Arabidopsis thaliana: one gene and its partner. The protein of the gene in region 1 interacts with the protein of each later gene in a pairwise test. Each region holds a gene or a part of one and is shown in the gene's direction. Other genes may lie near its edges.

Region 1 (7,613 bases):
CAGTATCCCACAATCCAAGATTCACCGTGGCTCCATTAACAACCACATTTGCACTAAAGTTATCGAAAACAGTCGGAACATAATCCTGTTCCAATGGAAATGTATACAACATTTTTAGTATGTATGGATCCCAATTCATATATGGCACAATCAGAATCAAATGAATCAGATATCAAAAAAAGGAGGGAGAATGATTGATGAATACCGTGGGAAAGGTGTTGCTGGTATAAGAAATCAGCAAACAGGTTTTACCAACAGCTCCATCACCAACGGTGACGCACTTTATGAACCTTGATGCGCTCATTGCCTCTTCTTCTTCTTCTTCGAGCCAAAATATGTCACAATTTACCAAAAAACAAAAGAGATCAACCTCAGATTTAAACCTGAGGAAGCCAGAAACACCCACAATGTGAAGCCAATTCCTCCGAAACTTCGACCATTATCTTTCAATTAACCATCTCAAAACCCTAGATATGTATAATGTGGAAACAAACCCCCCAAATAGAGAAAATCAGAAATGTGAAGAAGGAAGGAAGATGAATAAACAAAAGGGAACGTGAGGACGATGAATTGGAGGATGCGAGAGAGAGAGAGAACAACAACTAGAGAGAGAAAGAAAGAAGTAGAGAAGAAAGTGATGGCCGGAAATAATTGCCATTGAAGCGTTCGATTAATCTCAGCCATTCAACCTTCCGACTGTTTTGCAATCTTTTTACTTTTTTTACTTCTTCTGTTGTCTTTTAAATAATTACTATTTTACTTCTTCTTCTTTTTTCTGTTTGATTTTTTAGTGTATATTCAAATTAATTTATTTATCTTGTATACAAAAAAGTAAAATAAAGGAGTTGCACATAATGTATTTTGTCTTTGTTGTTTAAAATGCAAATAAGAAAAATTAACACTGGCTAAAATTATACGTGTTTTTAACTGTCTGTAAAATTTCTAGTACGATTTGTTTTACTATTCTAATTCATTTTTTTACTAGTTTTTCCGGATGCTCACCAAATGTGAAAAAATCTCTAAGTTATGATTCAATATTTATGAAACCAATCAGCCAATTGCGGTACAATAAAGTTGTAATGCACTAGTTCTTCCGCATACTCGCCAAATTTATGTTAAAATTTCAAGGATGTTTGATGATATTGAATGTGGTTAGTTGAATTTGCATGTTGGCTAGTGAGAATGTGGTGTATGGACCAAACCTGAACTTATTTGTATGTCAACAAAGTGTGGTAATATTTTCTGCCAAAAATTGCAATAATCTCAACTAACAAATATTTTACCGAGTATGTAAAATGTCAACATTGGTCATATTTGCCTTTCGTGAGGAAAGATGTCTATGCTAATGAACTTATTCGGGTCAACGTAACCTTCCTTGATAAGAAAACCTGCGACAGCGAGAACAAAAACGTTAAGAGTTGGGAATCTTTCACAAACCATGTAATTAATTTGTCGGAAAAAGTTAGCATTTGAAAATGTTCAAAGTAAAAGTTTTTATTTGATGTGTGTACGATGATACAATCACAGTTTTGATAAACCAGGATTCGTGGAGTTGGAATCAGTTTTATCAAATCAACATTCCAAAATTACTAACAAGTTTGAAAATATGCAATGACAAAAAATCATAAAAATCATAAATACACGAGCTACATATGGATGAATGAGAGAGTTAATCTATAAAATCCGACCAAATAACTCACCAAGTCTACGATTTATTATATGGCTTTTAACAGAGTAACGACTGAGAGAGACATATAAGAAGAGCATTGATGAAACTAACCCTGAACATCACGGCGAGTAGTCAACTGGAAGTCCAAGATGATACCCCGGCGCAACAAGCCCGCTATCACCGCCAAAGGTTGCCGTGGATCGTTTGTCGTGACTGTGACGGATCATTTATCTCTTCTCTCTCTCACCTGTAATTGTCAGAAACAGTTTAGATGGCAGAAATTTCTCAAAGATAAATTACACTATAATAACTCTCTTTAACATTATGACTACAATTCCCAAAATCAAGATGTTTCAGAAAATACACGGCTCAATTCGTCAAACAAAAAGGAGAAACATCAGATTCTTACCAAACCCTAAAGCAGAGTCTCAAAGCAGAGTTCTTGATTACGATGATAGTATATAATGAAATCACGGGGAAATTGGGTGAACGCTCTCTGTTTTTCTTTCTTTGCGTTGGTTGTAGTGAAGCTTGATGAGCCTTCCATTTCTAGCTATTTGCTTGGAGAGAAACCTGCAAGAACACTCGAAAAAGAAAACAGAGGAAGATGTGAGTTTAGACAAAGTGAAAATAGTATGATGCGTAAAACTGAAACTGACGAAACTTTAGTGAGAAGAATAGACCATGAAAGTGTTTCGATCAACAACATAAGTCGTAGAAAAGTAAGGAAACATCTAAGAATTCTTACCAATCTTAAAAGCAGAGTTCGGCTAGTGACTACGAGAAACCTTGGACGAACTTTGTTGAGAGGAATGAAACTTGCTCTCGATTAACTTTGGATGAACTTTGAGCTCTCTGACTCTCTCTCTCTTTGGTTTTTCAACTAGAAAAAAGACTTTTGCTTTCTGAAACTACGAGAATAGTAAGCGATTATACAGAAGAAGAAATGATTGTGGGAAGTAAGTGAGTGAGCACGAGCCACTTATATAGGCAGCTTCGGATTTCTTCTTTCAACGGCTACTTTTCTAACGTCTATATTTTCTTACCGTTGTAAATTTTGCGTCTCAAATAAGTTACCGTTTGTGCATGAGGTGACAATTGACTTGACAGGTTGACACCGAGATGAAAATTACACAACAACAAAAACTAGAAGCATTCATAATAAGCCCAATGGGCCAATAGAGACCCAACCAAAACCCCAAACCAACAAAAAATTAAGGACACTGTTCGTCATTAGTGGATAATTAATATTTTAGTGTAACACCTTCACAACGATCGTCTCTCAAGGTCAAATAGTAACTTAGTAAGTAGCCCTCTTGATACGAAGTAGGAACCAAAACGCTTGTCTTTATGGATTAGAATGTTTGTCATATCTTGTTCAAAACTAAAAATGTCTAAAAGTTATCTTGTTTTTATTTGTTATTACAATAACGAAATCATTTCAATCAAATTGATCTCAAACAACCAATGTAGTTTAGTGTTAGGTAGAATCTTCTTCCGAGATAGTTATGCCCCAGCTCTGCTTGCGACGGGATGGTAACTAAAACTTTTGAATAAACTATAGTTGCATAGATGAAAAATTGAATATATGCGAAGATTAGCAAAAGGGTTCTCCCATAACTATATTTAATACTTTGCTTTCTCCATATGACAAAACATTCTTCTCCCCTAAACTCTTCTTCAATCCTATTTATATATTCATCCTTCTGAGTCATTCTTCAATCTTATTCATCGGTCTGAGTTATTTTGCTTGCTCTTTGAAATTCTGACAATGGCAGTGAACGTTGATGCAGAGTACCTCAAAGAGATAGAGAAAACTCGTAGAGACCTTCGAGCTCTCATCTCTTCCAGAAACTGTGCTCCCATTATGCTCCGTCTTGCGTAAGATCTTTGCTCTCAGAATCATTCTCCGTTTTTCTTTCTTGTCTTGATGTTTCCAAATGCCAACTCTTCTGTGCATATAGATGGCATGATGCAGGAACCTATGATGCCAAGAAGAAAACCGGAGGTGCCAATGGATCTATCAGATTCAAGGAAGAGCTAAACCGTCCACACAACAAAGGTTTGGAGAAGGCAGTCGCCTTCTGCGGTGAGTTTTATGATTAAACCTTCTAATCCGTTACTACTACTCTTCAGGACCTGCAAGCGGTTGCTGTCTCCTTTGATGTCTAAATTTTGGTTTCTAATTTCAGAGGAAGTAAAGGCTAAGCATCCCAGAGTCTCTTACGCAGACCTTTATCAGGTAAATCAACATTGGTATACAGCATCTCGAAGCCATTAAACTCATAAATACTCTCTTCCCCCTTGATGGTTAGCGTGACAGATTCTTTCATTTCATTTCAGCTCGCTGGAGTTGTTGCAGTGGAGGTTACTGGCGGCCCTGCAATCCCATTTACACCAGGCCGTAAGGTAGTTACACTTACCGCTAAAGCGTATGCGTTAAATCATCGTTGCTAAGTGAGTTTACTAATGTTGAGAAATATGATACCAGGATGCTGATTCCGCGGACGATGGAGAACTTCCAAATCCAAATGAAGGTTACTCCTGCAGCTTGTAGCTCCTGCAACGGAATTCTATTTCACAAACTGACTAAGCCCTCCTTTTGGATTATTGCAGGTGCCTCACATTTAAGAACTCTCTTCTCTCGTATGGGTCTATTGGATAGAGACATTGTAGCTCTCTCTGGAGGTCACACTTTGGTACTTATTACTAACTATCCTTCAAAATATCCGCCAGTCACTAAACATGCTCCAATGAACCAACTTGGTTGCTACTTTGTATATAGGGACGTGCACATAAGGAGAGATCAGATTTTGAAGGTCCTTGGACACAGGACCCTCTCAAGTTTGATAACTCGTATTTCGTGTAAGCCAACGATAAAGTCACACAAGAGTTAAAGCGAGAGAGAGTGAGAGTTCTGAAACTTACATTTTTTGCTGATTGGTTTTTCAGAGAGCTTCTAAAAGGGGAGACTCCGGGATTGCTACAACTTAAAACCGACAAGGCTCTACTTGATGATCCCAAGTTCCACCCTTTTGTTAAGCTGTATGCAAAGGTAGATTAGATTTCACTACGATTATAAGAAACTTTTACTTTGGATGATTCTCTGGTTTCATCAACAACAAAAATGATTTTGATGTGTATGTCAGGACGAGGATATGTTCTTCAAAGCCTATGCAATTTCACACAAGAAACTCTCAGAACTAGGATTTAATCCGCCAAGAAGAATTCCTTCAGCAGTGACGCAGCAGACGCTTGGAATCGCTGTTGCTGCAGCTGTGGTGATCTTTACAATATGCTATGAAGCAAGCAGAAGAGGCAAGTGAGGAAGTTTCGCAGATGCAATAAGGGACGAGAGAAAAATGTTAATTGAATGTATGCAATAAATACAAAGATTCATGCAATGTTACCTCCATGCTCCTTTTCAAGCTTCAGTGCTTTGGACAAAATTATGGATGTTACATCGCAGTATGTGAACTCTCCTCAAAAACAATTACTACTGTTACCAAATTAAAGATACAGAGTCTAACTGAGAAACGAACTGTGGATGAGAAGACTAAATTTCTTTTGGAACAACCAGGAATATCAATAGCTGATTAGGTTGCTATAACCTTCCAACTTTTGATGACTCATGGTTTCCATAACGAACAATCTGACTCAAGAAACCATGTTCTGTGCTCGGGAATAACATAGAAATACACGATAAGTAAATACTCTATTCAAGAAATGGGAGATATATTTATCTCGAAGTAGCAGCATAGCATTTATTTTTTCAGAAACACACATCTGAGAATACAGCATTAATAACATTTGACACTATCATGGGCGAAATCAAAAGTTAAAACTTGATAAGTAGGTTCCTCGGCCACAGATACTTATCCTGTAATCCACTAGCATATATCTTATGAGACCCTGACAAGTGGAGAAAAACTAAAATCAAAGTGCCCTGAAACTATCCGTTTTATCTAGCCTGGCAGTACCGGAGCTTGATGATTCGCCAAGTGGATCAGGAGAAGCTGCTCTAGAAGAGTCTCTTCCTTTCAGAGAAGTTGGCATTCCAGAGATCTCCTATAAAAAAAGTAGCTAGAGTCATCATCCTAAAAGTGGTCATACTCAAATCACACTAGATGGCTGAAACAATTCAATAACTTACCTTCATCAAATGCAACCTCATGTCAGTAGGACGAGTATGGTTACCAATGCAGGCCATTGCAAACTTGGAATAACTAAACAACACATCAGCAGCAGCTTGCTTCTGCTCATCAACCTATAAGATATCATCAGCTCAACTCTTCAATAACAATTACACAACAAACTCCAAAAGTCATGAACTTTGGTTAAGAATCAGAAACAGAGAACAACGAAGCTACACAGGATTCCGATTTAAGATAAAAGCCAAAGGACTCATCTAAGACTAATCATGATTCTTATTGATCAAAAAGGAAGTGATACCATTCACTAATAATCCTAAAGCTCAGATTTTTATAAATTGGTTTTCCCCATTCCAGTAACATTGAAGAAACCATAATTTGAATACTTGTTCCTTTAAACAATGATTCAACATCTTGATTTCATGGCGCAGATTAAAAATGACACAGCTTTTACATCCGATTTGATCCCTAATAATCTGAATTTCAAAACATAGAAAAAATTCAATAAAGCTGAAGAATTAGAAATCAGAAGTCGCACCTCGTATTCTTCTGTCATTGTGGAGAAGCGTATTCCTCTGTTTGGCTCTCTTCTGGTCTTGTGTAGAAGACAGCTACCACAAAGTGACCTACTTTACCTAATTTGGATCTCAGCTTCGAATTCGAGAAACACCAAGCTCGCTGGTTCGAATTCTATTTTGTAGGACTATTCAGATACTACTAGGGTTTGATTGATAATTTCTCTTAAATTGTGGGGCTGAAAGTGAAATAAACACTATTTTACTTACTGTAAAACGCCGTGTATTTTATTCCGGTCGCATAAAAAAACGACAAAGCTTGTGACATCATCACACAATTACTTGTCCTATCATGTTTTTGATCAAAGGTTTTTCTTTTTGGTTTTAAGATTTGATTTTGTTCTTATTAAATCGGATCAGTCAGTATATACAAATACAGATGACTTATTGGAAAGGTTTGTTCAATTTTATTGGAAACTTGCGAGATCAGGGACAAATTATACTCACTTTATATGCTATTTAGCGGTTACCAATTCAAACACATTATCTAAAATTGTATAAATATTTGTATAAATCTCATGATTCTTGAAGAAGCAAAACACTTTTGCATCAACAACAACACAACACAACAAAATCTAATATTTTCAAACCTCTATGGTCTGTTTAATGCTTATGTACCAAGGCAATGATATTGATATACAAACAACACAACGTCCATTAGCCTACTTAGAACTTTTTTTCCCCTTCTTTCTCTCTTTAGCTGCCGTTTTAACTACGGTTTTAGCGAGTGATGATGGCTTCATGGCACTCTTGGGGTTAAGAGCTTGTCTAATCTTGAAAACAGTCCACGCCGTTCCAAAAGCATGCCCTGCTGCGCTAAGCCCTTCGTTTGTCGCTTGTGCTGTCTTTGCTCCATACCTACAAGTAACATCCAAACATTAACTATCTTTTTGGCATGGTATGAGCACATTCTCTTGTAAACTTTTTCAGTTACTTACTTGTGATCGACGATTTCAGTAGTTACATCTGAAGTTGTTTTCATAACGTGTCTTCCTGCTACTTCGACAGCATCACAAACCTTGTCTGTCACAAATGGGTAAACAAATCTTTATTAGTTTCAATCATCAGAAGCCTAATAAAGATAGATAAGAGATATACGATATAGTCAACTTACTGAATCCATCAAGTGTTGCAAGAACCATTTCTCCAGGAAGAAGCCCAAAGAGTTTCTGCCCAGCTTTGCTATTTATCACTGAACTCGAGAAGAATCCAGAAACT
Region 2 (6,199 bases), on another chromosome or scaffold:
GTAGTTTGACAAATGAAGCATTTGAGGCAATGAAGTCTCTCCTCATGGCATGTGTGTGTATGGGTCTTTGATGATATCTTAGAAAGTAAGCAGTAGAGACTGTGCAGAGAGCTAAACCAACAATCATTATTGATTTTAAACCAAAGAGAGTAAGAGTTTTATTATTATTGATTTCTGATTACTTCTCTTACAATTGAAGTAATGAATTTTATGTTACGACAAATTTGATCATTTATATAGACGTAAAAATGTAAATTATTATGCATGCATAGTGACGCTGAGGCTCATACAAGTTATAATTTACTCTCAATATTTTCAGGTTGCACATCAATTGTTGATATTTTGTTTCCTCCTTTGTTCTAACTTTTACAACAATAATATCTCATTTTGAAAAATTGCCTAAACCTTTTAATAAAAAGTTGTGATTTTGTTGCAATTTTTAATCTGTAAAAATGCAATCCGATTAAGTCGGACCGTCAGATCAGTCCTCATCTTGTTTGTTTAACGGTCCAGATTTAAAACACTACCCCAGTAAATACAAAACCAACTGAAGAAAAATAAATAAAAAGTAAATTTTTAAAGAGTCCGACCCGGGTCCCTCAAAAAAAAAAAACTCCGACCCGGGACAAGATCCGTATCCAACAAACTTATATGTGTATCGGACACAGAAGAATACTTTCCACGATCATCAGCTTCTGGAGATCTCTTCTGGGAATCGAGCTTCACTGTTAAAGATTTTCCTTCAATCGGCTAAAAATGGTAACAATCGCCACTCCCTTTGCTTTTGGGCTTCTCTGTTATCTGTTCGAATTTTGGATCTGCCTTCGATCTTGTACTATTGCATCGAGTATCTACGATTTGATTTGATGATGAAATTGAATCTAATCCTCCGGTATCCGTAGATTTCTGCTTGGATCTGTCCGGTTCTTTTCTCGCTTACGAATTGATCGATTATTTAGGAAGTGAAAGGATTAGTTTGTTTCGTGAAGCTTGAAATTGTTATGTTTCTGTTGCCCATTCGAATCTCTTGTGAGTTATTAAATCCAATTCATTGTTTTTGAACCACTATTGCTCTTGAAGTAATTAAGCTTCTTGGATTCAAATGTAATAGGGTCTAAGCTAGTTCATGTACCTCACATCTCTTTATTTGCCTCTGTTTCTGAATTGGCAAAATAAGCTCGTTGATCTCTCCATCTTTCCATATCTTTAAATGGTTTAAAAACTTTTCTTGAGATGCTTGTGGCTTGCGTTTAGGTGTATGATGGTAAATGATTCTCAAGTTCTGGTACTTGATCTCTCACAATTCCCTCTTTTGCTTGCCTTATGCAATTATGTGCATTTCAAATCTTTATGAGTTGCCAGAAATCGTGATATATACTACTGGTTTTGTCTGGTCTTGTTTTAATTCTCTTTATCTCGATGCTGTCTTTGTGATTCTAGAATTTTCTCATGCTTGATATGGGTGAGGAGACGTCAAAAACTAATTAATGTGTTATGTATTGCCATTCACAATGATAGAATAATGCTTTCTTGAAAAGAAAAAAAAAAACTTCTAAGGTGGCTGTTTTGGGTTATGTTTGTATTTTCAGATACATTTCGTGTTACTAGTCAGTCGACAAGGGAAAGTAAGGCTCACCAAGTGGTATTCGCCGTATACGCAGAAGGAAAGATCTAAGGTATGTACAGCTTAAGTGTTATTGAGTTAATGCCGCATTATGCTTTGCATGCCTATTTAATCTTACATTTGGAAAAATGATCTGGACAGGTCATACGTGAACTCAGTGGAGTGATTCTGAACCGAGGTCCCAAGCTCTGCAATTTTATTGAATGGAGAGGATACAAGGTTGTCTACAAAAGGTAATAGACATATTTTATATAAGTAGCATGTATTTGCTACTTTAAAAACAATGGTTATAAACATGATGGTTTTGTAATTTTGCAGATATGCAAGCTTGTACTTCTGCATGTGCATTGATGAGGCGGATAACGAGTTAGAGGTACTGGAGATAATTCATCACTACGTCGAGATTCTTGACCGCTACTTTGGCAGTGTGAGTAAACGCTTATCCAAAATATACTCCTACCACTCTATCATAACCTTACAAAACATCTAGATTTTGATTAAGAGCTGTTTATTCTATGATCTTCAGGTGTGTGAACTCGATTTGATTTTTAACTTCCACAAGGTATACATACTCAACTCTATCAATGATTCTCTACTCTCTGTATTTTACTTCAATATGACAATTTTCGAATCTGGTTGTTTTGTTCTAGGCGTATTATATACTCGATGAGCTGTTGATCGCCGGAGAACTTCAAGAGTCAAGCAAGAAAACAGTTGCAAGGATAATATCAGCCCAGGTATGGTTTCTTAATCCTAATGCCCACTGAGACAAAAACGATTAGTCCGTAAGGGTTGTGTAAATGATGTTGTGTTATAATATTTGAAGGATCAATTGGTGGAAGTTGCGAAAGAGGAGGCGAGTTCCATAAGTAATATAATTGCTCAGGCTACCAAGTAGTCCTTTTCTGAACTTTTCTTATGCAGCTGAAACAATCGTAAATGAGTTAATATTTTCCTTAAACTCTGAGATATTCTCTTCTGAATCACACTTTTGTTTGTCATGTCATGTGATTGTTTGATTGATTAGAAGAAAGAAGCATTCATCGTTTTGGGTTTAAAAGTAGTGATTGATCTGCGAAATCATAAATGGTATACTATTTTTTCACATATGTTACGTTTTAAAACGTGGAATGCTGAAATTTCATCAAGTTCATCATCTCGAAATTATAATTTGTCCGATTGATTGAATAGAATTGGTTTTTGAGCCTGAGGACTGATGCACCAAACAACATGCCAGTGTCTCGTTCTTTCTTCTTCAACGTGCCTAATTTTGTAATTCGGGCGACCTAACCTCATTTTGTGTAACCGTGATCCGCCATGAGAGGAGGTATCCGCTCGAAGAGTTATCCTTTCTCCTCACAAAAGCAACGCCAATGTCCCTTTTCTCACTTTGCCCTGTTTGCTCCTTAGTACTTGTTTCACCAAAATAATCTATAGGATTTCAAATACATGAAGAATGTTTGATGGTAACACCAAAAATAGTGGAGAAGAAACAGACACTTATGGGCTTGGGCTCAAGGACTCGAAACTTGTATACCCAAACTTAAACGTGACTGCGTCTTGTTCTTACCAATCCAATAATTTATAGTAATGATAATAATTCATCTTTCCATATATAATTTTTTTTAATTATTGAAATTAAAAATGAGGGAAAGAATATCCGTTTTCTTTGCCACAAAAACATTTTCATTTGGGGGTTTTCATAATTTTTGGTTCTTCAGCTCCTCAAGCTTCGATAGGTATCGATCGTCTTCACCATACTTTTGGATTTTTTCTGATCACGTTTCAATTCCAATCTGAGAGATCTTCCTTGATTCGATTTCTGAATATATCTCTGTAATTTTTTTTCTGGTTTTTTCTAGGGTTTTAGTAATTTTCCGATGGCTTCAAGCTCAGAGAAAACACCTCTTATTCCTTCAGGTATATATGTTAATCTCGATTTTAGTTTTAGAATCGATTTGGTTGTTGTTTCTTCGAGTAATATAGAGAAATTGTTTTCAACAGATGAGAAAAACGATACCAAGGAAGAGAGTAAGAGTACTACTAAACCAGAATCAGGCTCAGGAGCTCCACCTTCACCTTCACCGACTGATCCTGGGCTTGATTTCAATGCTTTTGATTTCTCCGGCATGGCTGGGATCCTCAATGTAAGTTCTCTTTTGTGGGTGTATGATCATTGAATAGTCAAAGGTTGGATTTTTTCTTGTGTTTGATTGGTTTGTTTATTCAGGATCCAAGTATCAAGGAATTGGCTGAGCAAATAGCTAAAGATCCTTCATTTAACCAGTTAGCTGAGCAGCTTCAGAGATCTGTGCCAACCGGATCTCATGAAGGAGGTCTACCTAACTTTGATCCACAACAGTATATGCAGACAATGCAGCAGGTTATGGAGAATCCTGAGTTTAGAACAATGGCTGAGCGTCTTGGTAACGCTTTGGTGCAGGTACCTTTAATACAAGCTCTTTCGGATCTTCTTGTTATTATTAGTTAGTCAATACTTGAGGTGTGATCATGACATTGAATCTCTGTTTGGTGTTTAGGATCCACAAATGTCTCCCTTTTTGGAGGCTCTTGGTAACCCTGCAGCATCAGAGCAGTTTGCAGAGCGTATGGCGCAAATGAAAGAAGATCCTGAATTGAAACCTATACTAGCTGAGATTGATGCTGGTGGTCCTTCTGCTATGATGAAGTAAGCATGCCATTATTTGCTATAAATTATTAGGTTTACTTGTGTTCATGGCTAATAGTTGATTACTGGTGTTAGGTACTGGAATGATAAAGATGTGTTGGCAAAGCTGGGTGAAGCAATGGGTATAGCTGTTGGAGCAGACCAGACTGTTGCAGCTGAACCTGAAGAGGCCGAAGAAGGGGAAGAGGAAGAGTCTATTGTTCACCAGACCGCTAGTCTTGGTGATGTCGAGGTAAACTGATTCATACACTGTTAGTCTCTCGTGTTTCTGACGGTCTATATTTTATACTTAAGTCGGAATCATTGATCGAGGTTAGCTCATAAACTCTCTGTGCATTGATTTCCTGAACCAACCAGGGTTTGAAAGCTGCCTTGGCATCTGGTGGGAACAAAGATGAAGAAGACTCTGAAGGAAGGACTGCTTTGCATTTTGCATGTGGATACGGCGAGGTATGTCAACGTCTCAACAAGCCTTAACAAAAAAAACTGTCGAAATGTCACTATCACAGAATCATGGAAGGCAGTATATACTACCAATATTTACTAGCATCATGCACTTGATGGATAAGCAGCTTCGGTTTCACTTAGTAGATTATTACACAATTATCTGTAGCATTCTTTACAAAGGAAATTGACAGTTGCCATTATTACATCTGCAATTAGAAGTTGTTATAAAAGCTTAATCCGAAGTTTGAACCCAGCTGACCTAGGTTGAGTTTGTATGTAGGTGAGATGTGCTCAGGTTCTTCTGGATGCTGGAGCAAATGCAAATGCGATTGACAAAAACAAGAACACACCATTGCACTATGCTGCTGGTTATGGAAGGAAAGAGTGTGTAAGCCTCCTCCTAGAGAATGGTGCTGCAGTGTAAGTTTGCAACAACAAGAACACAAATTCGATTTCCAAACAACTTAGTAATGGTTATATAAGACTCTTTTAAGTGTCGTTTCATTTTCTGTTTGCAGAACTCAGCAAAACATGGACAATAAAAATCCCATTGATGTGGCCAGGCTAAACAATCAGCTAGATGTGGTGAAACTACTTGAGAAGGACGCTTTCCTCTGAGCTGCTTTGACTCTTGAAGGATATGTTTCTTCTCTGTCATGTAATAGTGTCACAGAGTCTGATTGCAACCTTGTCTTCTGTGGGGGTTTTCATCATTAAATCTGGAAAAAAAAGATGGAGAAAATGGATGTTTATTATGGTTTTGTAATGAATTATTTTCTTCTTGAATTGGTTTTTTCTTTTGGCTCTTAAAGTCTTTTTTGTCCTTCTTTGTGTGCCACAGGGCTTTAGTGTTGCAATCACAAAGAAAAAACCCTTAAACTGTTATATTCGAGAAGGAATAGACTGTTTAATCAAATCGGTGATAAGATAATTTGGAGATTTTTAACATGCCAACCGTAAATTAGAATGAAGAGTAGAAAGCCCATAGAGGATAACGATACTAATAGATGAGATTTGTACATAAGTAATGTGCAGAATGGAAGTCGATAGAATGAAATGCAAAAGTGAACTCAAGAACAGCAAAGATGATAAAACTTGGACCTCAAATCATCTTTGGCTCTTTGCTGTTTCTTTTGTTTTCTCTCTTGAAAGTATTATTGAAAAAACAGTAAAAAAAAACTCAAAATTGAGGTTACTTCAATTTAACAATAGTAAAATCATCAACACAATTTTTTTTTTTAAAGACATCTTAATTTTCTAAAATGGATATACAAAATCATATCTTGCACCTCGGAATTTGGTCCACCTTAGACGTTTTTAGTGGCAAAAATTCCCGGATTTATGTGGATTCCAATATTAGTCTAGGTTTCGGCATAGAATTCTCCTGGTTAATTAAAAATATGTATACAATGTTATAATTTAATCAAACCAACAAAATA

Evidence for each region. Proteins that work in one complex are often made in the same cells at the same time.
Region 2: the proteins of APX5 (region 1) and AKR2B interact in a two-hybrid assay, tested with the Arabidopsis thaliana proteins (one study listed by BioGRID).

What each region holds. Positions count from the first base shown.
Region 1 is NC_003075.7:17,025,211-17,032,823, forward strand, and holds APX5 (ascorbate peroxidase 5), read left to right. Parts: upstream 1-3,375; 5' UTR 3,376-3,440; coding exon 3,441-3,550; intron 3,551-3,633; coding exon 3,634-3,758; intron 3,759-3,861; coding exon 3,862-3,911; intron 3,912-4,012; coding exon 4,013-4,078; intron 4,079-4,160; coding exon 4,161-4,206; intron 4,207-4,285; coding exon 4,286-4,368; intron 4,369-4,454; coding exon 4,455-4,534; intron 4,535-4,621; coding exon 4,622-4,724; coding exon of another isoform or gene 4,725-4,733; exon of another isoform or gene 4,734-4,818; coding exon 4,819-4,995; 3' UTR 4,996-5,348; downstream 5,349-7,613. Other genes in the region: RAC6 (RAC-like 6), read right to left, coding at 1-85, 206-304; AT4G35980 (uncharacterized protein), read right to left, coding at 5,606-5,737, 5,823-5,936, 6,359-6,376; AT4G35985 (Senescence/dehydration-associated protein-like protein), read right to left, coding at 7,058-7,253, 7,334-7,418, 7,510-7,613. UniProt on the Arabidopsis thaliana protein: Plays a key role in hydrogen peroxide removal.
Region 2 is NC_003071.7:7,552,366-7,558,564, forward strand, and holds AKR2B (ankyrin repeat-containing 2B), read left to right. Parts: upstream 1-3,220; 5' UTR 3,221-3,363; intron 3,364-3,486; 5' UTR 3,487-3,504; coding exon 3,505-3,544; intron 3,545-3,628; coding exon 3,629-3,771; intron 3,772-3,854; coding exon 3,855-4,067; intron 4,068-4,164; coding exon 4,165-4,313; intron 4,314-4,388; coding exon 4,389-4,545; intron 4,546-4,670; coding exon 4,671-4,763; intron 4,764-5,040; coding exon 5,041-5,180; intron 5,181-5,278; coding exon 5,279-5,378; 3' UTR 5,379-5,699; downstream 5,700-6,199. Other genes in the region: AP19 (associated protein 19), read left to right, coding at 757-759, 1,590-1,676, 1,766-1,857, 1,943-2,051, 2,151-2,186, 2,275-2,361, 2,451-2,522.